Oryctolagus cuniculus: one gene and its partner. The protein of the gene in region 1 interacts with the protein of each later gene in a pairwise test. Links are inferred from orthologs where the notes say so. Each region holds a gene or a part of one and is shown on either strand. Other genes may lie near its edges.

Region 1 (4,246 bases):
TAAGTGCAACTGGGCAAGGGCCCTGGGATTCCGCAGCCCACAGTCCCAGGGAGCTTCTGCTCTTCCCCACGGCTCACATACCTTGGGCCCTTATTTAGTGTGGTCAAAGTGATGGTTAAATACTGAACACATTCCTCCTCATTGACAAATGCCACCTGTTCCCTCCCAAATACACCTGTGGCTTCCCCAGCCCCTACACCCAGGATCCTTTGTCCCAATTTCCTCACAGCCAAGTGGGAAGGCCTGGCCGGCAGGGGGTTCTCCAGGACCTTCCCAGGGTAGACATAACCCCCCATCCTTGGACATAACCATGCTCCTCTTCTGCAAAGGAGCTGTATCATGTAATTATGTTACATTACTTATGCTGAAACAAGAACCAAAAGAAATACAGAAACCTGAAAAAAAGAACAAATAAATAAAAGGGCATTTATGAGAGAGATAAAACCACAGGTTGTATCTTTTTGGAGAGACACCAATGCCAAAATTCTTGTGTTCCGACTGCCTGGGCTGGGACCCCAGCACTGCCATGTGCCAGTTGTATGGTTTGGCTATGCATCAAAATGCCTCATCTACAAAATCCAGATAATAAGATCACCTACTAAACAGGGTTGTTTGGAACATTCAATATGGTCACATTAGTAAAATACTTAGAATAGTGCCTGATACAGTGTATGTAATGTGTGTATTTCTCCACAAACAGTTGATTTGATTCTGTCCCAAGTCTGTTCAATAATTTAAAAATTAGGAGTTTCACAACAGAAAAAAAAAAATTGAGACTCTGTGAAACACTTATATGTTAGACATTGTTTAATCACCCTGCACTAGCCACATCTGGGATCCAGGTTTGACACTGCGCTGTGAATTTCCGGAAGCAAACACACTGGAATGTGTTCCCACATTTGGGTAAATCCCTTACTAATCAAAAACGTCACGGGTTCACAGGAAACTTGGGTTATATGTTTCTCAGTTTAACCCTGCAATAGCTTTTGACCACACCCTAGCAAATAAATTTTATTTTGTGGTGCTAAGACTTGAGGATTGTAAACATAAAAACAGGCCTTGCAGTGACTCAGCCTAGGAGCCAGATCCTACCTGCTGGATACTCCAGCATCCATCTTTAGTAAATACCCATGGTGGACAGGAAATTGTTACACCAAGCAGCCAGCTGGATCAAACTCACTTCTAGTTAAGGAAAAGGCTCCACCTCCCAAGCTCAAGCATAATTTAAACAGGCTGAAGGAGACACAAAACTGTCCATTGTAGTTTCTGTTAGATATGCAGGGCAGGAAACTGTCAACAGTTTCCTTGCCATTCCTTTTGGTTGATAGCTAACCCTCTGAGCATTCTTCTATACAATCCTAACCAGCTCACAAGCTTATCTTCACCCATCCTCTTTAAAAGCAGCTGCTCCTCTAAAACCATGAGAAAACCTCAAGCCTTGCATAGTAAGAAAACTAAAGCTGCAATACAATCATTCAAATGGTGTACACAAAAAAGAGTGTCTTGTGGCTGGGTGATGGTGACACAAGCAAAACAACGCGAATGTATTTAATGCCACGAAAAGTGCACTTAAAAACAGCTAAGATGGGAAATTGTAGGTGGTGTACATTTTACAATAAAAACATACTAAAAAAAAGCTTAAAAAAAAAACAAACCCTGGAACAGCTAAAGGTAAATGAACTTTAGAACTATAAGGAACACCCACTAAGTCATTGGAAACTTCCAAGGAGCAGGGTTCCCCACCACTACCTATATAAGTGAATCAGCAAAACCAAATGAGCCCTACACAGTCCTTAGCACCACGGTTCATAAATCTCTCGGAAAAGACAGGCCCTCCTCAAAGTCTTCATAAGGCATACTTTTTTTTATCTGGATCGTGAGTTGTACTAGATCTTGAGAAGACAGGCTGGGAGCATATATAATGAAAGGCCCCCCAGAAAAACACTTACAGGCTGCCTACAAACTCAGGCTGAAAGGCTTTGTAATGCACTTGCACGCACACTTGTCCGCACGCCTCCAAAGTTAACTCTGAAAGAGCTGCTTATTCAAGTGGGCAGTGGATCAATGCGGCGTCTGTTAACGGCTCAAAACTGTAGACTCCTCTCCTGGACATTTCCAGGGCACCATCATTATCTAATCCATCTAACATATCTCGCAGTGCTCTGGGTTCCTGCTCCCAGAGGCCCTGGGAGGCCCACAAAGGGTTATCTAAAGTTAGCGGTCGCCCAATAAAGCGAAGCTAACTCCCCATTCTGGGGACTAGACCCAGGGGATGATCAAACGGGGAAACTCCTGGTGTCCTTAAAAATCGACTTGCGCTTAGCGCTTCATGGAGGAAGTAAAGAAAGCACTATGACGAGATTAGGAGAAGCATTCACAGGTGTCGCGGTAGCTCTGCACCAAGGCTCCCGGCATCACACAATCTCACCCAACGCTGGGAGGACGGCACGCCTGCATCTGAGACCCGAGTGCCCTGAGAACAGGCTCTGAGCACACGCCCCACTGCCAGCCAGCAGTTCACCCCAGCCCAGCGTCCCCAGGGCCGCAGAAGTTCGGGACCTGGCACTTCCTGGTCCGTCTAGGATGCTGGTGCCACCGCGCCCCTATCCCTGTCATGCCGCGGGGCTTGCTAACCCAAGCGGCGCTGGACGCCCAGGGGGGGGCCCGTGGCTGCGCGAGTCGGGGTGCACCCTGCAGGGCACGCCCCCTGCCTCCGCCCGCAGGCAGCCCAGGTTGTCAGCACCGGATCTCGCGGCGTCCGCGGGAGGCCGGGGGCTGCTCGGCAGTCCACCGCCCACGCGGCGCTGAGGTCCCGTCCAAGCCGGGCGAGGAGCGGCCTGGCTGCGCGGGCCAGCGGGAGGAGGGACGGAGGGCCAGGGCAGCGGCAAGCCAGCTCCGGTGGGAGCCCCGCGAGCCGCTGCGTCCGCGCGCGGCGCCTACCTGCAGGGCGAGGGGGCCGCGGGCACCTGCGCGCTGGCGGCTGGGAGCTCCCGGGGCTCGGGCGTAGCTGGCACAGCTGGAGGCTCGGGAGCGACGAGGGCGGGCCCGGGGGCGCTCGGCGCGGCGCCGGCGCCCGGAACTCGCGGCGCGGATTCGCCCGGGCTGTGCGGGGGTGGGGCGAAGCGGTGCCGGGCGCCGGCAGGCTGGCGGCCCGGCAGGACAGGCGGGCGGGCTCCGCAGCTGGGCCTCTGCCCCTGGCGTTTGGGTCGCTCGGGGGGCTTTGCCTGTATTCCCCCATCCTCGCGGCTGGCAGCCTCTAAGGGCGGACCGAAAGGCGAGCTTTCTTGCTCGGGGTGCTTTAGCTAAGACGTAGGAGCTCTGTTCATGGCATTTATGAGACTCCTTGCGACTCCCTCGGGTAGGTGTTGTCGCCACTCTACAGGTAAGAAAACAGGCTCGGACCGGCGAAGTAGCCGGCGTCTAGACTCCCAGCAGAGATCCCTGGGGACGGGAATTTGTGTCTTGATGTCTCGATAGCTGGATGTCATTCAGACTTCTTAGCATCAAGGGGGGGGGGGGTGGCGACACCGAGAGCAAGACTTGGAAAATTCCCATTACACCCCTCCTCCCCCGATCGAACTGTCCGAACAGCAATTGTGCTGGTTTTCGTCCCCTGAAAGTGTTAATTAAGGAAAGGAGCACCAGCCGTCCAGTCCCGGCCAAGTGACACAATCTTGCACCCCACCGAAAGGCGCAGCCTTCCCGCGCACCGCTGTGCTCACAGCGTGGGCCGTGTGTGCTCCACCGCCCAGGCTGGCCGGCTTCCATAACGTCTCACTGCACACATGGGGCGGCATAAAACTGAAAAGGCGGTGTTCAGTCCAAGGGAGACGAGGGGCGTGAAATTCCAGTCTGCAACTCCGTTTTCCTGTAACCTGCACTTGGCTCGCCCCTTCCCCCCGCCCCACTACATTTTTCTCTCCTGAGCACATCTTTTCCAGTGATGGAAGAGTCACACAGCCTTCACTCCCTCCTTGCCGACAGACCTGATTGATGCCTTTTGAATCCTGGGGTACTGACAGATTTTTACAATTAAGCACAGGGCCCTCTGGCAAGCTTAGCACAAGCATGTTACCGAAAGCCTGAACACTCCCCTTTCTCAAGTTTTATTAGTCACAGATGATGTGATAAGTTTTATGCGAACGAGTAACTGCACTCTTACAGGCTTGTCCCTAGAAGTTATTACACCTTCAGTTCGAGAAGCAGCAGCCCATAAAGCTGCATTCCTCACTCAGAAGTGATTAGT
Region 2 (4,453 bases), on another chromosome or scaffold:
CCTCCCAGCTCATTCTGTGCTCTGCTCACTGCTTCCTCACACCTTCCTTCCCCCATTTCCTTCCTCCCCTTCCTTCCAAGCTGACTCCAGGAGGAGCCCTGACAAAGGTGGAGCAGACTGATGATGCTGGGGAAAGGGGGCAGGGAGTGTTGGGAGGACGACAGGTGGGTGCTCTTTGAGCCCCGGAGCAGGAACAGGCAGGCCCTAGGGGTGCTTTGAGAAGCTGGGCAAAACTAGGAAAACTACCTGTGGAGGAGGTGTCAGCACCAAAGGAATTTCTGTGCATTTTGACATTAATTCATGGTAGATGATCATCTCTTCCTAGCATTTAGTTCCAAATCCTCAGTAAATTTAACAAGTGCGAAGGAAGCCTGAGGATTAGGAGGTGCTGCATCCCCTTCCTGCACATCTGCTGCAGCTGCCTAAGGCTGAGGGGCGGGGCCATACCACACAGCTGCGAGGACCTGGAGGTCCCTATAATGGGCAGGAAGGGACTCCCCAGCATTCAAGTCTGTCCGTCTTGTTGCCTGAAGTTGGGAGAAGTAATGAAGGAGAGGCAGAGGCATGGGGAAGGGAGGGAGAGTAGGGTTCCAGCTAAGTGACGTCTGGACCACAAATTCAAGCAATTCCATAGTTTATTTCCTTTAATATACTCGACTGACTTTGTCCCTAAGCTTCTATCTAGCGTGGAGCTTAGGGGAAGGATCATCTTTATTCCTGTAAGGAATGAAGAAGAGGGCTCTGAAGCTTCAGGGTCAGTCAGAGTGGGGGAAGGCAGGACATCTGGGCCCCAAAATGTTCACGAAGCAAAATGGGTTACCCCTGGGCATGCGGACAAGAGCTTTCGGGGGCACCAGGAGACAGCTGATGATGGATCAGGCAGGGAGAGGGGGCTGCCTGAGGAGGAGGAGGCGGGTAGGGCCTGCGACTGCCTCGTCCATCTATCTACACTCCCTGCTCCTATTTCTGTCTCCTCTCTCTGGCTCTTCTTTCTCATCTATTTCTTCCCCTTATGCTTTCAACCTCTCTTTTCCTAGTTTCCCTTCAATGGGCTTTCATCCCCTCAAGCTTTTCTTACCCATCCCACTTGATGGTGGCCATGAATCCTTAGGACTCCTGGCTTCTGTTACTCGGGGTCCCCATGGGACTACTTAGAGCCACTGTTAGGAAGGGGTTTGAGTCCCTGCTGTGTGTGGTAGAAGGGGCCTGCAGATGCAGTGGTGGACTGCCTACTGGCTGGTGGAAGTGCTCACCGTGACATGCGTGAGAGAGAGGCACTGTGCGATTCTGTGTGACCCACTTCTTCATGCATGACAGTACATGCACACGTGTTGGGCACAGGTGCCGCCAAAGTGAGAAAGCAGACAACCAGGGAAGCCAGCAGCCTAAGGCATTGCTGGCAATCTCTTCAACAGAGTGTTTAACCACAAAGGGAAGAGCAATTAAAGCAAATCGCTCTGACAGCCTGGGGGCCAGACACACACCAAACAAGACATACATATTCAGCATGTTCCTCCTAACCCTCTGTTTCCTCCTCCCCAGTTTCTGAGCCTCTTTACCCCACTCTCCAACACTCTTTGCACACCTCTGACCATCTCTCTTTCCCTGGTTCCATGCCTGTATCTCTGTCCCTTTCTCCATATTTGTCTCCTCATAGACATTCCTCTCATTCTCTCTCTCCATCCTTGGCTGACTCATTCTTTTTTTCCTCTCCCTTTCTCCCACTCCCTCCCCCATCTCTTGGCCACTATGAAACCTAGAAACTAGCCACTTCCAGCCCCCTGAGCTCTAACTGTACCCAGCAAGAGGGACAGCCAGACGCCCCTACCCTCCCTCCCACCCAGCCAAGAGCACTGGACCATTAGCCTTCAAGATCCTGTCTCCTTGTCCTAGAGGTGAGAGACCAGGGTTTTCCCTCATCTCTTCTGTTTAAAGAGTAGTAGTCTAAAATCCAGGGCTGGGTTGGGGCCAGTGGCCCCCTCCATCCACTACTCAGCTGTCCTGTCATACTGGCATCTTGGGGCCCACAGTCCAGAAGGCTCCACATGGGAGCGAGTGGGGTTGTGGATGTGTGTGATTTGGCGTGTGTGAGGCGATGTGTGTAAGAGTCACATGGGTGTGTGTCACTGTGTGTGCTGGCTGTCTCTTGTAGGTGTGCGTGTGCCCCTGTCAGTTTCGACACGAACTGTAGGGAATTAATTAGGGGTTTTACGTTAGAGACATCACTCCTCTACACCCCCAGCTCCTTCCTCCTTCCCTCGGGACAACCTTTGCCAATCCCACCTCTTCCCCAGGTGCGGAGAGCCGGCGGTGAGGGCACACGCGGCCGGCGGCCGGCTGCCCGCGGAACTGAGGCGGGGCCGGGCCAGGAGGCGGCCGGCCGGCGGGGGCGAGTCCGGCCGGGGCCGCGAGGGAGGGGCGGGAGCTGGCCCGGCCGAGCCGGCTGGGCGGGAAGCAGGCTGCATCCTAGTTCCCAGGCCCGGGTCCGACTCCAGACTGCCGCTCAGTGGGGAAAGGGTGGCCCAAGCCACGCTGCCCGCAGCACACGCTCGGCGCTCGGGACGCACCGATTGAGAGGACCCGTCCGGGGTCCCCACGCTCCCCTGCCTGTCCGCCAGCGTCCCAGATGGTCATCCCTTCAAACCCAGACCCAAATCTGCTCCCTCCCCGCGACACGTCTCCTCTCCGCCCCTCTCACCGCCTCCAGAGCTGAGCGCTCAGGGAGCGGGCGCTCCGGGGTCCCCGGTTCCTGAGCAGCGTCCGGAGCCTCCTCCTCGGCTGCTGCCGCTGCTGCCGCTGCCGCCGCCGCCGCCGCCTCTTCCGCCCGCGGAGCCGGAGCCCGAGCCCAGCGCCGCCTCACCCCACCCGGCTGGCCGGTGATGTCAGAGCCGGGGAGGGGCGGGGGGCGGGAGCGGCGGAGGAGGGGGCGGGGAGGGGAGGCCGGAGGGGCGGGGGACCGAGGGGCCGGGGTTCTGGAAGGCTCCTAGGACTGGGGACGGCATTGGGCGGAGGGCCGGAGTAGGGACAGCTCCTGTTCTGCCTAAACAATTCTCAGGCTTCATTCTTTCACAGTGGGATCCCCCTCCTCCCCTTGTGACCGTTAGGTGACCACCTTGGCTGGGACCCTGGGAGGTTTAGGAATTTGGAAGGCCTTTGACCTCTGCTTGCTTTGGTATTTGAAAAAAGGTCTTTCCCCAAGCCTGGCGGTGAGGCACTGGTAGTAAACGATCAGATTTACTCGCATTGGGTGTGGGGGATGGGTGAACGGTAGCATGGGGCCCTCCTTGACTTGACCTGGAAGCCCCAGGCCATTGACGGCAGCGGCCCCCTTGTTTTCCTCTCACCTTTCCCCAATATGCACCCCCCTCCTGCCATCCCCCACCATGATGTAATTTTATTTTCTGGGGAGAAAAAGAACAGCAGTGAGCTCAGCATGCAAATATAGACAACTTACAAAGCCGCACTTAGCTTGCCTCCTCGCTCTGTCCCTCTACCCAGGCCTAGCCTGGTAGCTCTCACTTCCCTTTCATCTCAGGGACTTTCCTCCCCCAAATTCTCAGCCATACTGAAAGAGGGAAGGGAGAATTGGGGAAGCAGCTGTTTTCACCCCCAAGGCCAACTCTGATATGGTCTAGTTCTTGGAGGAGGCCCAAGCACCCCCAGTGTTGGTACCACCTCTGGGGACACCCCCATCTTGCCTCATTTCCAGCCTGGCAGAGACCCTTAGGTCTCCACCCCCCTGGGAGAGGCTCAGGCTCCTGCTGCCTTGAGTTTCCCAGCTCTTTGCTCTTCCTCTCTCCCAGGTTGCCCAGTCAGGGACCCTTTGATAGTAAGGCACCCTCCTAAATGTGTCTGTCAATGTTGATCTCCCTTGCTGTCTGTCGTAGGGCCATGCTGTTTCGTTGACCCATCTTTGGAGGCTCAGATACTAGATGACTTCCCCATAGACACGTAGTGTGCAAGTGCAGGGCTCAGTTCTCCTGAGGGCAACAACGGGCATGAGGGCTCCGTGCTGGCTGCACTCCTTCTTTGGACAAGTTATGCCCCAAGCCTCCAGGTCTTTACCAGTATGGTGGGGATGCCAGTGCCTTCTAAGAGTTAATGCTGAGAGCGAGACAGAAATACCCCATCCTGCACTTCATACCCCAGGTGCCCACCGTAGCTGAGGCTGGGCTAGACTGAAGCCAGGAATTCAACCCAGGTCTCCCACGTGGGTTGCAGGAACTCAGTCACCTGCTGCCTCCCAGAGTGAGCATTGGCAGGAAACAAATTGGGGGCAGAGCTAGGACTTGAACCCAGACACTTCAGTATGGGATGTGGGTGTTGCAAGCAGCGTCTTAAACACTGTGACAAATACCTGTCCCACCACCAAGCCTATCTTACAGGGTTCTTCTGAGATTCAGAAATAGTAAGTCTCTAGGGGCTGACACAGATGACTGCTTAAAAAACAGGA

What was found.
Region 2: the proteins of PLD1 (region 1) and PEA15 interact in a two-hybrid assay, tested with the Homo sapiens proteins (2 studies listed by BioGRID). The link is inferred for Oryctolagus cuniculus from reciprocal best matches to the Homo sapiens genes PLD1 and PEA15.

The regions. Positions count from the first base shown.
Region 1 is NC_091435.1:108,448,398-108,452,643, reverse strand, and holds the start of PLD1 (phospholipase D1), read right to left. Parts: upstream 3,081-4,246; 5' UTR 2,941-3,080; intron 1-2,940. UniProt on the Homo sapiens protein: Function as phospholipase selective for phosphatidylcholine. Implicated as a critical step in numerous cellular pathways, including signal transduction, membrane trafficking, and the regulation of mitosis.
Region 2 is NC_091438.1:38,719,569-38,724,021, forward strand, and holds the start of PEA15 (astrocytic phosphoprotein PEA-15), read right to left. Parts: upstream 2,882-4,453; 5' UTR 2,699-2,881; intron 1-2,698. UniProt on the Homo sapiens protein: Blocks Ras-mediated inhibition of integrin activation and modulates the ERK MAP kinase cascade. Inhibits RPS6KA3 activities by retaining it in the cytoplasm. Inhibits both TNFRSF6- and TNFRSF1A-mediated CASP8 activity and apoptosis.